2 linked regions of the Drosophila melanogaster genome follow. The protein of the gene in region 1 purifies or fractionates together with the protein of each later gene. This does not show direct contact. Each region holds a gene or a part of one and is shown in the gene's direction. Other genes may lie near its edges.

The links.
Region 2: the proteins of Ptp61F (region 1) and Hem purify together in Drosophila melanogaster (affinity purification with western blotting; one study listed by BioGRID). This does not show direct contact.

The regions. Positions count from the first base shown.
Region 1 is NT_037436.4:1,343,277-1,354,344, reverse strand, and holds Ptp61F (protein tyrosine phosphatase 61F), read left to right. Parts: upstream 1-3,745; 5' UTR 3,746-3,868; coding exon 3,869-3,973; intron 3,974-4,802; exon of another isoform or gene 4,803-5,146; intron 5,147-7,894; coding exon 7,895-8,068; intron 8,069-8,139; coding exon 8,140-8,402; intron 8,403-8,480; coding exon 8,481-8,847; intron 8,848-9,183; coding exon 9,184-9,719; intron 9,720-9,815; coding exon 9,816-10,017; 3' UTR 10,018-10,362; downstream 10,363-11,068. Other genes in the region: CG9166 (uncharacterized protein), read right to left, coding at 2,314-2,492, 2,556-2,816, 2,874-3,159. UniProt on the Drosophila melanogaster protein: Non-receptor protein tyrosine phosphatase. Required for maintaining dock/dreadlocks in its non-phosphorylated state. Negative regulator of InR/insulin-like receptor signaling through dephosphorylation of tyrosines when recruited by dock/dreadlocks.
Region 2 is NT_037436.4:22,282,292-22,291,494, reverse strand, and holds Hem (HEM-protein), read left to right. Parts: upstream 1-3,299; 5' UTR 3,300-3,507; coding exon 3,508-4,687; intron 4,688-4,752; coding exon 4,753-6,953; 3' UTR 6,954-7,141; downstream 7,142-9,203. Other genes in the region: IleRS (Isoleucyl-tRNA synthetase), read right to left, coding at 1-266, 332-1,182, 1,240-2,491, 2,556-2,698; Srpk79D (Serine-arginine protein kinase at 79D), read right to left, coding at 8,395-8,591, 8,663-8,933. UniProt on the Drosophila melanogaster protein: Plays a role during growth of the oocyte.

The DNA.
Region 1 (11,068 bases):
GGCGCTAACGTCACCGATCCTCTCACGCGCTTAAATATATTTATTTATTATTCTGGGGTGGGAATTATTTATCTGGTTTTGTGGCCGTGGGATCTAAGTGGCTGCATCATCATCGCCAGCACAGTGACGTCACTTGGATCGCTCAACTGGTCGTTTGCCCGACCTGCATCCCTTTCTAACCCGTCTGTCTACAGATCAGTGGGTGGTAATCACATTTCTACGAAGAATTCAGCTGCGAGTGCAGAATCTCGCGATGACCTGGTTGATGGACCAGGAGCTGCTCTGTGCGTTTGTGTTTTTTTTTTGTCTGCTCCACGCGGCTTTATTTATTTGTATTTATCGGGAAAATTGCGCCTTCTTTTCGCCCAACGCCCCCACATACGGCAAATAATGAGTCCACTTGGCGCAGAGTTATATTCCGGTGGTTCCCGTCTTGGTCTGATTGTTAGAATAATCTAATATTCTGACGGATAAACACTATGATTTTTCAAAGAAAGAGTTTTTCAGATCAAACAACTGAGAACATAATCAAAAAGGTTTAATGTTGTGCGTCGTTCTTGAGGATGAGAAATAGGCCTCAAATCTTATCTTAGCTCATTATTTCCATTATCTTATAGTTACTAGATGGCCAGCATTAGTTAGTAACTAACATTGTATCATTAATACGTGCCAATCAAGCATTTAATCCACACTTACTAGCTTTGATTGGTGATCAGATTTACATTTTATGCAGCCAAACTGATGACGGCAGATCTCAACAACTGCTGACCCCTTGTCAGGCCATTAAAGCATATTTAATCGATTCCATATATGCCCCCTTCCATGCCCCGCATCTGCCAGGTGATGAGATGTAACATCAGCACTTCTTCTCGCTCACCTCTGACCCATCGGGCCAGGGAATTTGTTTTTCAACCCATCGATACGGCGATTATGGGCTGATTATGGACGCGCCAAATCCCCCAGCGGAAAGTTCCTCCCATATCACATCACATGGCCAAGTGGAAAAGTGAAACGAGCGGCCGTAGCCCAATCCTCCTCACTCCACTCGCTGCTCCATCATTGCTGATTGACGTCGACAAATTGTATTAAAGCCGTTAATTGGCATTTCAAGATTTTCAGCAATTTCATAAAATTTAACGCCTATCATGTGTCGGCCAATTGGCGTCCGTCTGGCTCTTTGGCTCATTGGATTATCGCACCGTTCGCCGGACTGGCCATTGTTTGTTTTCATAAACACCATCGATAACTTATTTTCGAAAACGTATTTTAAAAATATTAAGTTCGAATTCTCCTCGTGACGCAACTGGCGCTGATGGCCTGCGAAGAAATGATTTCCAAATGCCAGGAGGATCTCCTTCTTGGACCCTAGTTCCCTGATTTTCCAATTTCATTCAGCATTCCGCTGGCCGGTGCAAATCCACAAATCAATGTGCTGAAAACAGCCTTGTTCACACCTCGCCCGATGACTATAAAAACACAATGAACATCGTTGAGTGGGCGTATTTATATTTTGAGCAAACAGTCGTTAAAAAACGCCGCAGGATATATTCGAGCCATTGAGATTTGAGTTTAATGGCTTTCTCTGAATGAATGGGAAATTCGATTGTGAAGTATAAAATCATTGGAATGCTTTCTGGTTCATAATATATTATTTTGCGTTTTTATTACAATTTGTTATCTATCAAACTGTACGGCTTCTTAAAGTTATTAAAACCCTAAATTACAGGATTAACTGTCTATTGTTGCATCTTCCAGTTGAATGGAGAAAATGTTCCGACGCGTTGCTACAACCAGATATACCGACAATATTCGATAAAGACAAATTAAAATACATCACATATCAAATATATAACAATTTGATTGTGACATTTCATAGATATAAGGGAATCTGCCTTTATTCTCTGAAAAGAAGAGTTATTTTCATTTTTTGCAGTATACTTTAGTGCGCACTTGTTATTATCAGATTTTCAGAAATAGGTGGCGCTAGCGTCGCTTGGCCATCTACAAAAGAATTTAGCTCCTGTTTGGAAATACTGCTGTCATATTCTGACGGATTATGGCTATTATTGCCCTATTAGAGCTCGATGTTAATAAAAATTACAGTTATTTTAAAGATGGCTGCCTGAGCGAATGCACCCAGTAAGAAACTAGAGATGGGCGATCGCATAGTTATTTTGGCCGTGACACGAGAATAACAAGTCTGACACGAAATATTTATTCATACCTTATTGTTTTTCCAAATCACACTGCAAGTGATCTCGCACGTACGCAGCTCTAAAGAGTTTTTTTTTATTAATAGTGAAATGTATTATTTTACGTCTTTAGTTTCGATTTGTCTACGAAAGAAAGGGGTGTTTGAGCCATGAAAATATCGCCATAGGGATTGGTGGGTTTTTGGCTTTCGCGGTCGAATTCGGAGCCAATGGCCCACAGCGACTCCAGATCGTATTCCTCGCGAGCACTCGGTGAAAATATGTGCAGGGCAATGTTGCCTAAAAGGAAACGGAACGTGTTAGAGCGGAGAAACCGGAATATGCATTTATTTCAATACCCACCCAAGTCCATGGCCATCCAATCCCGGCTCTTATCGCCCTCGATGCGCGGCAATATGTCACCCTTGCCCCGCTTGATCTTGAACATTCGGCGCACGAACTCCGCGGTGGACAGCATGTGTCGGTAACTGCGACCACTGCAAACCACCAGGTGGTCAACGTACTTCAGGTTCTCCGGCACGTAGCAGACGAATATGTCGTCCACATTCTCCTTGCGGAGCAGCTCCACCAAGTCCTCAACGTCGAACACTCCGCGAACACCTCCTGCAAAGGGAAACAAAGGCTTAAATTTCTGCTCTCCCTGGACGATTGCCAACCTACGCTTTAAATTGAGGCCGTAATAGTGATCCAGCTCCAGGTCCGGCTCTGGAAGTTGCTGCTCCTGGTGGCGTGCCTCTTCCACATCAAAAATCTCCGTGGCTTCCTCATCGCGGAATATTTTGTACTTGTCTTGCACGCCGGCAACCAAAGTCTTTTCGGGATTGCCTTCGATTTCCTGGCCCTTCGCTGCCTGTTGTGGCGGCTTGGAGAACTCGTGGTGGAAGCAACGCAGGACAGGCACACTCAGGCGCCTGTCGTGCACTAGGCGGAACACGCGGGTCAGCATTTTGCTTTGGCTTCTTTCTGTTGTTATTAATAAATTGGGTAACAGTTGTTGATTCGATACTTTTGGTATTACTCGATAACACTGGTCAACGATGAGCGATTGTAATATCGGTATTTTAAAGTATTTGAACCCAATTTTCTTATCAGAATTTTTCTATTTTACTTTTAAAATATTTTATTTTATTTTTTTTATTTTATTTTTATTTAAAATATTTTATTTCAATTGTTTTTATATTGTTATGTCTTTAGTTAAGTATTTAATTTTATATAAATTATAGAAAACTTATCCCGAATGTTATATTATGTTTCAGTAAAGTTCTAATTTCTGCGCAAGCACTTTAGTTTCAGTATGTGTTCTATTGCTCTACAGCGCCTGGTCACATTATTTGATGGTGAAAATATCGATAGACGTAACTAATATTTCAGAATAATAATGTCGCAGATACAATATATTGTGTTTGGCTTGCATTTGTAAATAGGAATCACCATAAGAGAATATAATATGTAATGCGATCAATATAGTGATGTACAATCGAACTATCACTCGGTATCGCACTGCAAATACCGATAGTATTTCGCAAGCTCAAATATTCGATACATCGACACTGTCGTGAGTTGTCCAGCTCTAGTTCTCCTCTGAAATTAACCAGCCGCCTGATAACCAAATTAAAAGTTATTAAATCGGAACAAATCGCAGCAAAGTGTGCACAATGAGCGAGCAGAAAACGAGTGGGAGTGGGTCGGCGGCCGCTGCCCGTCTGCAAATCGAGGCGGAGTACAAGGACAAGGGGCCGCAATGGCATCGCTTCTACAAGGTAATTGGCAACAACAACTGCGACTGCACTGAAAACTGGTTACAAACTGGACGAATGATTGTGGCACAGTTCGATTCGCCAAGGATTCGCAACGGATGCGGAGTATACACCTTTCCACAGCTCCTTGGCGCTCCGATTTCCACGAAAATGTGATGAGTGCGCAAAAGGCTTCTGCAGATGCCTCCACCACCAACACCAGTGCAGCGGCGAGCTTTACGTGTGTGCGTGTGTATTGTGTGTCAGTGCTGTTGTTGTTGCAGTTGTTGCTTTAACAGCCAGGCTTTGGCCAAAAACAAAAACCCATGGAAAAGAATGTACAAACAGAATAGCACCAACACACATACACGCACACCTGCTGCACTTTACTTTGCATTCTCCATCGAACGCGTGTGTGTGTGAGTTCGTGCGTGTGTATTGGCCTGTATTTGGCATATTTATGCTTGTTATTCTGCCATACCTTTCCCCAAAAACGCTTTCCTTTGACTATCAATAGAGCGCTTGAGCTATTCCGCGAATTCTCGTTTGGCCAAATCAAATTGGAGGCGATTTCTGGGAAGCTCGTTGTGTTTGTGATTGCCGTCCCCCAAAAACAAAATACAATTCGTGGAGGGGTGACAGTGCTCTCCACTGAAGAACTCCTCTAACGCGCGCACACACACACACACCCGCTCGCGTTGAGCAGGAGAGAGAGGCTCACGCACACAGGGGCACAAAGGGCATGCGTCTGGTTTTTTGAGTCTCGCTTTGGGCTGCTTCTGGTTGCCTGTCGGAATTGGAGTCGGAATCCTCTCCTTGCCCCTTCTTCTCTCCTCCTCCACCTCCACTCGTTCTTTATAGCCAGTTCCGGCGAACTGTCTTCAGCTGCTACTCCTCCTCCTCTGTTCCTCTGTGCCTCTTTCAGCGCTTCCACTCACTTGAATTGGGATTTCACGGAATTCCACTCCGCAGTTAGGATGACACAGTATATGGTCGTGTGTAGAAATATCTCGTTTCTGGACCCGCTCCTCGGCATCCTCGTTCGTCATCCTTTGTGCTCGCGTCGAGGATAATCTAATTTTCCAGCTAACTGGAAGGCAGCCCGCAATTGTGCGTCGAAACTGACTGGAAAATAGCTACCAGCCATTTCCACTGAAATACAGTGCAACTTGACTAAGACGATCTTGTTAGGCCAAAGTGAGATTTCAATAAACTTTCTTTAATCATATTTTCTCATTAAATCATAAATAGTTTTCAGCTTGATAATATTACTTTCGTGAAATTCATCTAAATTCGCTGAATTTTATATGTTCCATAGCATGTAAACGTTGACTCATTTTTGTTGCAATGAAAAACAACTATGATCAATGTGAAAACATCACATTTTTCGATGATTACTTTATGAATAAGACCGACCTACCCCAATTTTTACTTTAATAACATTTAGCTGTGCATGCTACTACATTTCTGAAGAAAATTATAATCCATTATAGGCACTTATCTGTCTTTATTATAGAAATTCCAAAACACATTCTTCTAAGAATTAATAAATCGCAAATATGTGTGAACATAAACGGTACAACTAATTTTGTGGTTATCATTAAAACTTCCAATTTATTTGACATTTGCCATATGATAGCCCATCATAGGGGATTTGGACTGTAGCCAAAAACGCAGTGACGCATTCGGACCGTATTGTTTTGCTATGCTTTGCTTTATGTTTAATCATTTCCATTGAACGAAGTGCGTTACACTGGGTCTTCTCAACTCGCCGCCCCTCCCCGCCTATCAGCTCATACCTAGCGCCTTCTCGATCCATCCGTTCCATCAACATCCCACCCAACCCACTCCGTCCCATTATGACAACCTCCGTGGACTGTGACGAAGCTCCTCCACAGCTATACCCTGCCAGAGGGTGTTATAGTCCTTACCAGTCGTTGGTATCAACAGGTGACCGTCTTCTTTTTCGTTTCTCTGGAAACAGTCAAGCCAGATTTTATGAAATATGAAACTTGTTAACTCGCATAGTGTGTGTGAAAGGGTATGTCAAATTCGTATTGGCCAAGAAGTCTTTATCCATCGTTGCAATTGTGCTCTGCGTGCATGCAATGTTTTTGTTACTGTTTCTCGATTTCCTTCGAGCGTTGCAAGGTAAAGCAGAAACATAATAACCATAAAACGGTTTGCACGACACGCTTTGGAAACCAAAGCCCCCGAGATTTCCGCGCCTTCGCTTGGATTTCGCCACTCCGTTTAGAAGGGTCACCTGGATAGCCACCGAGCATAAAAAACAGTATGTAGCTGGTAAACGGCCCAAGACTTAATGTTCAACGGAGCCGAAGAACTGTTTTCTCCATCAGAATGAATCCAATCCAAGCTATGGATTTACATAAGTTCCGGATGGATTGTTGATTTTATATATCATATCTAGTTTGATATAGTACAAGGAATACAACTTTATACATCATAAGTACACTGAAAGTCTTTATCATTGGCAAACATTTAAATAAAGCAGCTCAATTATCTGCGCGTATTCTCACGTGACTCGTCGATTATCAGACCTTAAATAGGTGATTGTAGAAATGCTATTGAGTTGAGGAGTTTCGAGAAATATTAAGTGCAACCATGGATTTCTTTCCGTTTCTAATTACGAATTATCAAATGTAGCGATAGCCATTGAGATTTTGCTCTTTGAAAAGCTTCCTTATCGGTCATTAGCCCGTCTCAGATTTGGAGATTACGTAAAAATATGACTCTTTAAAGTTATTTCATAACAGGTCAGCTGCAGAATTTGCAGCTGATTCATTGTTGAAACATGACGAACTGACAATTAACAACTGATTTTCGAGCTGCAATCAACGCGAGCTGATGGGTAACCATATTAAATGGTTACTCATCACCGCATGCATGTGATTAGCTTTGAGCCGAGTTTAAGGAGCACTTGTCGTCGCCAGGTGGTTGCCATTGACCTTGTTAACGGTTCGGTAGTCGGATTCGATGGTTCAATTGGCGGGGCCACTTTCAGCTGCGCCAGCAATTCCCCGTTCACACTGCTGATAATGCCGCACCGGTCATGCCCAAGATAATGCCATTACCGACAGCTTGCTTTGCCATCGCCATCACCAACATCGCATGGCTAATTAGTCACGCCCGCTATGTAGACTGGGTGGGCTTTTCATATGCCGCATGGTTCCCTCCCAGTCCGATGCCCCTTACATGTATCTACTATCGCTTCAATCGCAGGGTTTGCCAATCCGGAGGAGCCCCTTGTCGCTGGGCCAAGTGATGAATCACTGCAAAGGGGGCAACCCCCATGGAAAAAAACAAATTCGATTTCTGTAACATTCTAGCATTCTTCTAACAGGATCTTATCAATTCGTTTCTTGACAATTTGTTTGCGAGTCAGTCAAACAAATGTATCACTTTAAAACTAGTTATTATCAGACCATTATGAGTCTGAACGTTTTCATTTTCTCGGAACACAAATCGTAAAAAGCTTAATTGCGCCTTACAGTTTCTCAGTTTGTATGGTTCTAAAAGGAAGCTCTGATATTCGTTTTAACAATGCCATTCAATACTATTGTGCACTGCTATTTGCTGTTTGCTCTTGTATCGAAGAATTCGTTGGGTCATTTCATGCATAAATGTTTAATTAGTTTGAACTTTTGGTCTTATTACTGTCTTAGATAATTGAGTAACACGAAAACTATATTTTTTACGAATTTTGTACCAGAAAGAAGAGATCTTCCAGTAAGACACTATAGTAGTTGTCTTCTGGGGTCTGGAACGCTTAGGTAAATAGCGCAAATCTCACAAAATCCCCTGAATTACCGCCTGCAAATTGACTGATAAGTTGTCAGTAAAGCGACCGAATTTTAATACCACCTCAACCTTTGTTGTTATGGGTAGTTTCGATTGTACTAATCGCTCTTTTCGGAATTCCAGGAAATTTGTGAGACCTGCGACCGGGAGGCGAAGGAGAAGCAGTTCAGCACCTCGGAATCGGAACGCCACACGAACCGCGGCCTGAATCGCTATCGGGATGTGAATCCGTACGATCATTCCCGCATTGTTTTGAAGCGCGGCAGCGTAGACTACATCAATGCGAACCTGGTTCAGGTGGGTCACGTTTTTAATGCATACACACACCCCTAATTAAACGCCTAATGCGATCAATCAATCCTTTCTAGCTGGAGCGCGCCGAGCGCCAGTACATCCTGACCCAAGGACCGCTGGTGGACACAGTGGGCCACTTCTGGCTGATGGTATGGGAGCAGAAGTCCAGAGCAGTTCTCATGCTCAACAAGCTGATGGAGAAGAAACAGATCAAGTGCCACCTCTACTGGCCCAACGAGATGGGAGCCGACAAGGCCCTGAAACTGCCCCACGTCAAACTCACCGTGGAGCTCGTCCGTCTCGAGACCTACCAGAACTTTGTGCGGCGATGGTTCAAGTGAGTAGAACTCTTTATTCTTCTTCTGCTTCAAACCATTTGTACATGTGGACTAATTGCCTTTGACTATTTCTCTAGATTAACCGATCTCGAAACGCAGCAGAGTCGTGAAGTGATGCAGTTCCACTACACCACATGGCCGGACTTTGGCATTCCCAGCTCGCCGAACGCATTCCTTAAGTTCTTGCAGCAGGTTCGCGACTCCGGCTGCCTCAGCCGCGACGTGGGTCCAGCCGTAGTGCACTGCAGTGCCGGAATCGGGCGGTCGGGCACCTTCTGCCTGGTGGACTGTTGCCTGGTACTTATCGACAAGTACGGAGAGTGCAATGTGTCCAAGGTGCTCTGCGAGCTGCGCAGCTACCGCATGGGCCTCATACAGACCGCCGACCAGCTGGACTTCTCCTACCAGGCGATCATCGAGGGCATTAAAAAGCTGCACGATCCCGTATGTATGCGCGACCAGCGGTCGGCGTTTGGGAGTCAAACTTGGGGGCTGCCAAGCACCGCCGTATATATTGCACATCGCTATTTATTCTGGGGGGTCACAGAAATCTCTGGGCTTGGTTATGGTTACTAGAATTCATATTGTTTAATGGAATTATGATTACTTTTGAAAACTGTATTATGTTTAGTTTTGTTTTTTATTATGTGATCTAGTATCAGCTTAATGATTATTGTTTAATTGATGCGAAAAAGAAACCATTGTTTTTGGTTTGCAGAGATTTCTGTGAAGGCCCTGATTATTTTCCGCGACTAATTAGAACATTTGATTTCTCTTCAGACCTTTCTTGACGCTGAAGAACCCCTCATTAGCAACGACACAGAGACTCACACACTGGATGAGCTGCCGCCGCCATTGCCCCCACGCGTCCAATCGCTTAATCTGCCACTGGCCCCCAATTCCGGCGGTATACTTTCGCTCAATATGCGCGCGGCCCAGGCTAATGGAGCTGAAAGTATCGGCAAAGAGCTGAGCAAGGACGCCCTGAACAACTTCATTAATCAGCACGACATGATCCACGATGCCGAGGTGGCCGACAGTCGTCCCTTGCCGCCATTACCCGTAAGGGCTTTCAACGATTCGGACAGCGATGAGGATTACTTGCTGGATGACGATGACGAGGACGACACCGATGAGGATGAGGAGTACGAGACCATTAACGAGCACGATGCCGATCCAGTTAATGGACACGTGCCCGCGACAACACAGCCACATGCCGACGATGTTAATGCCAACAACGAGAAGCCAGCGGTGCCAGTCGACGAGCAGCACAAGGCGAACGGCATCGATCCAATTCCAGGCCAGCTCCCAGCCAGGTAAGAATCTAGTCTTAGATCTGCTCAGTATCTATTTTTCAACCGCCTAGTCAAACAAAAATCCCTCTAATCCCCTTCCAAATTCGTACTTTTCAGTCCCGAGAACGAGCTGAAGCGGCGAAAACGCAACGAATACCAGGCCAGCCTGGAGCAGAAGGTCAACGACATGAAGCGGAAGCAGCGGGAGAACGAGGACAAACAGCTGGCGGCAAAGAAACGAAGGTCATTACTCACATATATTGCCGCTGGTGTTGTGGTGGGCGTGATCTGCGCCTACGCATACACGAAGCTAGGTTAAGTGCCCCGTAGCCACTAAGTAGTCGTAGATCAGTAGTAGCAATAGCTGTATGACGTATTTAGTTGCCGTAGGAGACCGATTCCTCCCCTGATACCCGATTTCCGACTTCCGATCCCCACCTGCTCGTCCGCCTGACCCGGCATCTAATGCGGGCAACGAATCAAGGACGACGTGCAACGGATCGGAAAGGATCAGAGATCGGACGGAATCGCATCGCAACGCCATGCAATCGCACACGAATTGCGGATGGCGGATTGATTGAGCTGAACGAACGATACAAGATGCATAAATATTAGGGAATTTTTTATATACGAAATACAAGAAGGAAAACAAAAGAAACAAATGAAAGAAAAGAAGCAACTAAACTAAACTAACGAAAATCGGGTAGAAATCACGTCAAATGTAGATTTTGCGCAATAGACTGACATTTTAGATCAAATTTATTTTCTACACTCTAAAAATGGATTGATAACCGACCAGATGCCCCAAACGAGCCATACCAAATGCAAAGCTCACCCTACTTGCTCGCTATGCTTAAAATATTAAGAATATCATAACTACCAATGTTTCAAGCACCCGACAACCACCCACTACACGCTTCACTTGTTGTTGTACAGCAATTTCTTATAGCATACGACCTATGTATATTTATTTATGAAGATTATGAGAAACCACCACTTGTTGTAGTACATGGCAAAATATAAAGTGCAGCAATGTGCCAAAAAGAACCGAATCGGAGAATTGTACGAAGTGTCCTAAACGACTCTTAATTTTACTTTGCCTCCCGCCTACCACTACCACTAACTTTGAATTGTTGTGTTTAAAATTAAAGACCCTGTCCCCCCTTAAACGAGCACTTTATTAATGAATCGAAATTCAGCGCCATTAAAGCAATAACTTACGGTTAAACAAAACAGCTCGATGTACACCTATATCTCGTTTAACGCTTTTAAGGAGTGTTATAATCAAAATTGTTCATTTCGCACACTCGCCCCCGATCGATCTGAAATCAAAATAAAGTGATTCTTTTTTCAAATTGTGACCGTGGACT
Region 2 (9,203 bases), about 21 Mb from region 1:
AAGCCACCGAGCGCTCAATATCGTTTCGAATAAATTTTTTCTGACTGACCGGCATCATCTGGTAGTGAACTGAGTCAGCATGCTCTAGGGTTCCGGCTGGCTGGAACAATACCAGCCGCTGGAATATGTACTCCGTAAGGTAAGGCGTGAAAGGAGCCATCATTTTAACCATTGTGTATAGAACATCGTAAAGCGTGTCAAGTGATTGAATGCACTGATCAGCTCCCAATTCACCCTTGATGCGACGTCGATTTAGTCGAACATACCTGTAAGAGAATTGTTCACGCGTTAACTAACTCATGCTTAAATCATTAAATTTTATAGAACATACCAATTGGTAAGTTGATCAATGAACTTTGTCAGCCGGGGTACGACAGTGTACAGGCGATACATTTTCATCTCAGTGGCAAAGAACTCGAGTAAGGATTCCTTAAAAGACAAAATCCACACATCTATAACGGAGGCCTTGTCCATATTCTTTAAGTGGCGTTCACGATCATAAGTATATTGTCCATTTCCTGCCAAATCCTCCTTCTCATATCGAACGATATTTTGTAGTAAGAATCGGTATGCATTGTACCACGGTAGGAACACATCTTTGATTATGTCGCGCACACCTTCTTCCTTAAAACGCAGACTCTCGGCCCTTACGACGGGCGAATTGATAAGGTACAGTCGGAGAGCATCCGCTCCATACTTATGGACCACCTCCATTGGATCGGGATAGTTCTTCTTGCGCTTCGACATTTTTTGACCATCAGCAGCTAAGACCAGTCCACTTGCAATGAGGTTTTTAAATGGTGCCTTATTAAATAGCGCCGTCGAAATCACAAGGAGTGTGTAAAACCAGCCTCGGGTCTGATCGATACCCTCTGCTATAAAGTCAGCCGGGAAATTGTTCATAAAGTCCTTTTCGTTTTCAAAAGGGAAATGCTGTTGTGCGAACGGCATTGAACCTGATTCAAACCAACAGTCAAAAACAGGAGCTATGCGACGCAGTGGTGGATTTCCAGGAACTGCCGATGGTATTTCAATGTGGTCGATACTTTCTCTATGAAGATCCTCGACTTGAACGCCGGAAAGCTCGGCTAACTGCTTGATACTGCCGATAACGACGGTCTCATCACCGCTAGGCGACCTCCAGATAGGAATCGGCGTGCCCCAGTAGCGATTGCGGGAGATCTAGATATATAATTTGATTTAAAAACATAACAAAAAAGTTTCCTTTACAAAACTTACAGCCCAATCTCTGGCCTCTTTCAGCCAGTTTCCAAAACGTTTCTCCTTGACGAAGTCCGGCACCCAGTACGTTTGGGAACTGCAATCAAGCAGGTTTTTAGACATGTGCTCGACGCGCACAAACCAGGAAGGAACCGCCTTATAGATAAGAGGCGTGTCTGACCGCCAGCAGAATGGGTAGCTATGCTTCACCTGGCCACTGGAAACCAAGTTTCCTCGTGCCTTCAGCGCGGCCATTATTTGCTTATCAGAATCTTTGACGTATTGGCCCTCGAAATCGCTTGCCTCGTTAGTAAACCGTCCTGCCTCGTCCACTGGGCAGAGAACCTCACTGGACTTTGTGATGAGGCCCGCAGCGAGGCACACACGATAATCGTCTTCTCCGAAGTAGGGAGCATTGTGCACAATACCCGTACCGGAATCCTCAGTCACGTACTCGTCGACCAGGACACGATAAGCTTTCACCTCAGCTCCTCGCTTCGCAAAGTAAGGGAAAAGCGGCTTGTAGTGAAGGTCCTTAAGGGTTTTGCCAACAAACTTTTCCTTCACTTCGTACTCCGTCTCCGATTTGTACACGTAAGAGAGACGAGACTCTGCGAGAACAAAAAGTCGGTCGCTCTTTACGTCGCGCACTTTTACATAGGTCATCGTCGGATGAACACAGCATGCGAAGTTTGAGGGCAGTGTCCATGGCGTGGTGGTCCACACTAGGAAGAAGGTATTGGGCAACGAAACGGCCTCCAGTGCAACTACTACGCAAGGGTCCACAACCTCCTTGTAGTTTTGGTTGGCCTCGAAGTTCGAAAGGGACGTTGTGCAGGCGGTGGAATAGGGCATCACCTTAACGCCCTGGTAGACCAGACCCTTGTCGAACAGTTGCTTGAAGATCCACCAAATGGACTCCATGTACCATGGGTACAACGTCTTGTAATCGTTCTTGAAGTCAATCCAGCGACCCACGCGCGTCACCACATTCTCCCACTCATCTGCGTAACGCATGACAATCTTCCGGCACTCGGCATTGTAGGCTGCGATTCCCATCTTGGCCACGTCCTCAGGACCCTTGATATTCAGCAGCTTGTCAATCTCGAACTCCACGGGCAGTCCGTGGCAATCCCAGCCGAAGCGACGGTCCACATGGTATCCCTGCTGGTATGCGTACCGTGTGACGATGTCCTTGATGGTGCCAGCAAGAATGTGTCCGTAGTGGGGCAGCCCGGTTGCAAAGGGCGGTCCATCGTAGAACGTGTATCTTGGAGGTGGAAAATTAGCACAAAATTTGGCGATCGGCTGATGCAATCGTATGCGGCACTTACTTGGGCTTTCCCTTCGACAGCTGGCTGCACTTTTCAAAGATATTTTCGTGTCGCCATTTCTGCAGTACGTTCTCCTCCTCGGCCGGGAAATTAATGTTCTCTGGCACCCGACACACGTCGTTCCGCTCTAGTTTTTTTCCCATGGCTGTCAAAGTTCACTGTTGTATTATTTATCAAGTAACAGAGCTTATTCGCCCACCTTTTATATCAGAAATTCAACTGACTTGCGGCGTTTTTGCGTGGCACACAACGTGCCCGAGGTACGGAACTAGTGGTTCATTAATCGCTCTCTAGCTCATGGGTTCGCGATATCGATAGTAGGTTCCGATGAGCGGCATCCTTGATAATCAGCTGACGACAGCACTGAAAAAAAAAGAAAGGCTTATTTACTATTAACAACTTTAATAAATTTGTTAGCCATAAGAATAAAAAACTGAACTGTAAGTTACTAAGTAAGAAAGCCATTGGCAATTGAATGAATAAACTATGCAATAGTTTTGAAAGCAATTATTCCTGACTTAGACAAATAATTCTAATAAATTAAAACCCCAAATACCAGCTATTATTAATTTGTAGTATAACCAAATTACTGTAATATATAATTATAAAAAAATTATCTTAAATTATATTAAGCCATATGTTTTTTTTCTCAGCAGTATATTTTCTTTTTAACAATCAATAGTTTAGCATATATATGGTAGCTATCGTTATCGATAGCAATATATCTTTGCTATCAGCCCATTGGTCATCACTAACGCGAAAACAAGAGGAAGAGTAATGTGTACACTTTTGTGTCGCTCCTTTTCGGCCAATTTAACAAACGAAAAAGTATAAGTACTGGGCAAATCAGCACTTGCACGCCTCCCAATACGTCTCGCCAGCGCACACCTGTGTTCTGGGCTCCACCGGAAACTCGCCTTCAGCCATTCGACGTCGCCAACAGTCATCGGATATGGCACGCCCAATTTTTCCGAACCAGCAGAAGATAGCTGAGAAACTAATCATCTTGAATGACCGCGGCCTGGGCATTCTTACGCGGATATACAACATCAAGAAAGCATGCGGCGACACCAAGTCGAAGCCAGGCTTCCTCTCCGAGAAGTCGTTGGAATCGAGCATCAAGTTTATCGTGAAGCGGTTCCCCAACATCGACGTCAAAGGGCTCAATGCTATTGTAAACATCAAAGCGGAGATTATTAAGTCGCTGTCCCTGTATTACCACACATTCGTGGACCTACTTGATTTCAAGGACAATGTATGCGAACTGCTCACCACGATGGACGCCTGCCAGATTCACCTGGACATCACATTGAACTTCGAGCTGACCAAATATTATCTGGACTTGGTTGTGACCTACGTGTCCTTGATGATTGTTTTGTCTAGGGTCGAGGACCGCAAGGCAGTTCTGGGCTTGTACAATGCCGCCTACGAGCTGCAAAACAATCAGGCGGACACGGGCTTCCCCCGCTTGGGGCAGATGATTCTGGACTACGAGGTCCCCTTAAAAAAGTTGGCCGAGGAATTCATTCCCCACCAGCGCCTGCTAACCAGTGCGTTGCGGTCGCTGACCTCCATCTATGCACTGCGAAACCTGCCAGCAGACAAGTGGAGGGAAATGCAAAAGTTGAGTCTGGTAGGCAATCCGGCCATTCTTCTTAAGGCCGTCCGCACTGACACCATGTCCTGCGAGTACATATCCCTGGAGGCAATGGACCGCTGGATAATCTTTGGCTTGCTGCTGAACCATCAAATGCTCGGACAGTACCCGGAAGTCAACAAAATCTGGCTCTCCGCCCTGGAGTCAAGCTGGGTTGTGGCCTTGTTCCGCGACGAGGTCCTGCAAATTCATCAATACATTCAGGCTACTTTCGACGGAATTAAAGGTTACAGCAAGCGGATCGGAGAAGTAAAGGAAGCCTACAACACGGCGGTTCAAAAAGCTGCTTTAATGCATCGGGAGCGGCGCAAGTTTCTTCGAACAGCCTTGAAGGAGCTAGCTCTTATTATGACCGACCAACCAGGCCTCCTGGGACCTAAGGCAATATTCATTTTCATCGGTCTTTGTCTTGCGCGCGATGAGATTCTATGGCTCCTCAGGCATAATGACAACCCACCTCTTCTCAAAAATAAAGGTTAGTTAAGGATTTTCTTACGATTAAATTAAAATTTGTGAACCTTAACTATTTTAAATTTATAGGAAAGAGCAATGAAGATCTTGTAGACCGACAGCTGCCGGAGCTCTTATTCCACATGGAGGAACTCCGCGCTCTTGTGCGTAAATACAGCCAGGTAATGCAGCGATATTACGTGCAATACTTGTCCGGATTCGATGCCACGGATCTTAATATTCGAATGCAAAGTCTGCAAATGTGTCCAGAAGACGAAAGCATAATCTTCAGTTCGCTCTACAACACGGCTGCAGCCCTGACAGTTAAGCAGGTGGAAGACAACGAACTCTTTTATTTCCGACCATTCCGCCTGGACTGGTTCCGCCTCCAAACGTACATGAGTGTGGGAAAGGCTGCACTTAGGATCGCAGAGCATGCAGAGCTGGCCCGCCTACTGGATTCAATGGTTTTCCACACTAGGGTGGTAGATAACTTGGACGAAATACTAGTAGAAACCTCGGATCTCAGTATCTTCTGTTTCTATAACAAAATGTTTGACGACCAATTCCACATGTGCTTGGAGTTTCCCGCGCAGAACCGCTACATCATAGCGTTTCCCTTAATCTGCAGCCACTTCCAAAATTGTACGCACGAAATGTGCCCGGAGGAGCGACACCATATACGTGAAAGGTCTCTCAGCGTGGTAAATATATTTCTTGAGGAAATGGCTAAGGAGGCTAAAAACATTATAACCACAATTTGCGATGAGCAGTGCACAATGGCAGACGCTCTATTGCCAAAACACTGTGCTAAGATTCTTTCCGTACAATCTGCTCGTAAGAAGAAGGACAAATCGAAGTCTAAGCATTTTGACGACATACGAAAGCCGGGAGACGAGTCGTACCGAAAGACACGAGAGGATCTGACGACGATGGACAAGTTGCACATGGCCCTGACGGAGCTTTGTTTTGCAATCAATTATTGCCCCACGGTCAACGTTTGGGAGTTTGCTTTTGCCCCTCGCGAGTATCTCTGTCAGAACCTGGAACACCGCTTTTCCCGGGATCTTGTTGGCATGGTGATGTTCAACCAGGAGACAATGGAGATAGCCAAGCCCTCGGAGCTGCTGGCCAGCGTTCGAGCCTACATGAACGTGCTGCAGACAGTAGAGAACTACGTGCACATAGACATAACACGAGTTTTCAACAACTGCCTGTTGCAGCAAACACAGGCTTTAGACTCTCATGGCGAGAAAACCATTGCCGCTTTGTACAACACCTGGTACAGTGAGGTTCTGCTAAGGCGTGTCTCCGCTGGCAACATTGTGTTCTCCATTAACCAAAAGGCTTTTGTTCCCATTTCGCCCGAGGGCTGGGTACCATTTAACCCGCAGGAATTCTCTGATCTCAACGAGCTGCGAGCACTTGCAGAACTTGTGGGACCTTACGGTATCAAAACATTGAACGAAACACTTATGTGGCACATAGCAAACCAGGTGCAAGAGTTGAAGTCGCTGGTGAGCACCAACAAGGAAGTGCTCATTACACTGCGAACCAGTTTTGACAAACCTGAAGTGATGAAGGAGCAATTTAAGCGCTTACAGGACGTGGACCGCGTGCTGCAACGCATGACGATCATTGGTGTGATCATATGTTTCCGCAACCTGGTGCATGAAGCCCTCGTTGATGTGCTGGACAAGCGCATACCCTTCCTGCTTAGCTCAGTGAAGGACTTTCAGGAACATTTGCCCGGAGGCGACCAAATTAGGGTTGCTTCCGAGATGGCCTCAGCAGCGGGTCTGCTATGCAAGGTAGACCCCACATTAGCAACTACACTGAAATCAAAAAAGCCAGAATTCGATGAGGGTGAGCACCTCACTGCCTGTCTACTGATGGTCTTTGTGGCAGTGTCTATACCAAAACTGGCCCGTAACGAAAATTCCTTCTACAGAGCCACAATTGATGGCCACTCAAATAACACGCACTGCATGGCGGCGGCCATTAATAACATCTTCGGAGCCCTGTTTACCATCTGCGGTCAAAGTGACATGGAGGACCGCATGAAAGAGTTCCTTGCTCTGGCCAGTTCTTCCCTACTGCGCTTGGGCCAGGAGTCCGACAAAGAGGCGACACGGAACCGAGAGTCCATCTATTTGCTGCTGGACGAAATCGTCAAACAATCGCCCTTCCTCACAATGGATCTGCTTGAGTCCTGCTTTCCCTACGTGCTTATACGCAACGCGTACCATGGCGTATACAAGCAGGAACAGATCTTAGGGCTGGCACTCTAAATGGAGCCGATCTGTGTATTCCACATAATGCTTATGTAGTTTATCCGCCGATCGACTATCGATCACTATGCTAATCTAACATACTTTAAAACTGTTAAACATACCCAAATGTATTCTAGACTCTGCATTTTTATACTCGTACGACTTCGAATAAAGTGCTTATACAACCCAAATAAGTATCCCACATTAATAAGCTGTCTCTAGATCGGATCGGTATGTATATTCTTTATTTCGGCTTATTGAAATATGTGTCCACTCCCGCGAACGTGCAGCTCCTCCGCTTCAATTTCTGTTAAATTTCATTTGGACACATGCGCACACGTGTGTGTATATTAAATATGAGTTTGGGGGAAAAATCTTCCGCAATATTAAATTATTTGGTCACGTTCAATGTTACTTTGTAGGCTTGTGTACAAATACTTGTAGGCAAGTAGTAAAATATGTTTTCGTTATTTTGTAATATGATTTCTCAGTAGTTATCATTGGTAGTATTTAAATTTCGATTTTGAGTTTTCAATTCCGATACAAAGACTTTTATGCAATGATTTATTATTGTTTTTAATTCTTTTTGAATTACATGATCTGGGATAGGTTCTTTTTCACGGATGGTTAAATGATAAGTTTTGCAAACCGAAATCGGGTAAGTAGGGCATCTTTTCAAATCTGCTCGTAATCAACATAGGCCTAAACATCTACAAATGGGTTCGGTTAAATGTACCAAAATCACTACACTCTGCTAAAAAGCTGTCAATATTTGAGTTTACATCTGTATTTGTGAACATTCTCGATATCTACAATGGGGTTTCGTTAATTATACACATACTTGCTTATTAATATTATAGAAGGTATTGTTATTTATGTGATGCTGAATATTTTGCTAGTTCGTACAATCTATTTAGCATTTCTCACTGATTTGGTTTTACTTGGTTTCGCATGAAAATGTATTCCTTTTCAGTCAGTCAGTTTAGGCATCTGTTGACTAAAAATTGTCGTCATTGTCTTTTGTTTTTGTTTCTCAGTTAATAAAAAATATATGTGTATATGTATGTATATACTTATATGCACGTCGTCGAAATAAAACTTGAAAAACATTTGCGCTACTTCTCTCGTTTGCTTTTGTCGTTAAAAGTAAAATCGCTTCTTTAGTAATTACATTTTAAAGCTCTCAAGTACAAAAATTAAAAAGCTTAAAAAATTCGACGCGGAACGCCCCCACATCGTCCGCATTTCGTAAGTGTAAAATGTGTGTGCTTCGATCGAGTCCTTTAATGCTAGCTCCTCATCCCATTTTCCTGCTACCTCCTCTTTATGGCAAATTGTTTGCATATAAAAGTTAAGCCTAGAAATACAATACGAGTACGAAATACGTATGTTATGTATGCAATATTTTACTGTGCCTATGCCTGTGTCTCTCTGGCTGTCTAGTCACTCCATGAGCCTCTTAGACGAACTCCTCCTGCTCCAACCACGGATGCTGCAGGCACTCCGCTGCCGACGCCCGTATAACCGGATTGTACTCAAGCATGGGCAGCAGAAAGTCGGAGAACTTCTTGGCCTCCACCGGGTCCCAGTCGTACTTCTCCACCAGCACGTTCATTAGACTCCAGGGCTTCAGCTTGGTGATGTTCCTCAGGCTACCTGCAAATGGGAATCAACAGGGGTCACACATCACACACCATTCCTTGAGCTAAATTCGATTTGATACCTACCATAGCTGGTGAAGTACTTCAGCCCGTGCTTACCGCGGAAGATCACCGACTGCGGTATGGAGCCCAGCAGCTCCACAATATGCGCCAAGTGGTCCTCGTCCCGACTGTAAGACTCTCCGGCGTGAGGGTCGAACAGGTAGTCGCCGGTGGCCAGCTCGAAGGCCAAACAGGCTGTGCTCCAGATGTCGGCGGTATAATTGTACGGCGCTCCCAAAAGAACCTCGATTGATCGATACTGGCGAGTCTGAATGTCCTCAGTAAAGTGATGGTACTGAGAATTCATAGAAAGCCGAAAACGGACTTATTACTTTTGAAAACCATGTGCGGGGTCGTGTTTCCGACCTTAAAAGGTATATATTCTCGGTCAGGATTACTAGAAGAGTTTATCTGGCCATGTCCTTCTGCCTTGCAATTTCTATTGATATGCCAAAACATTTTGCCCACTCTAATGCCTACAAACCACAAAAAACTGTCACGCCCTCAATTCGGAAAATTATCCCTCCCACGTCCACTATTTAGGTAGACCTGATTTCTTGAAATT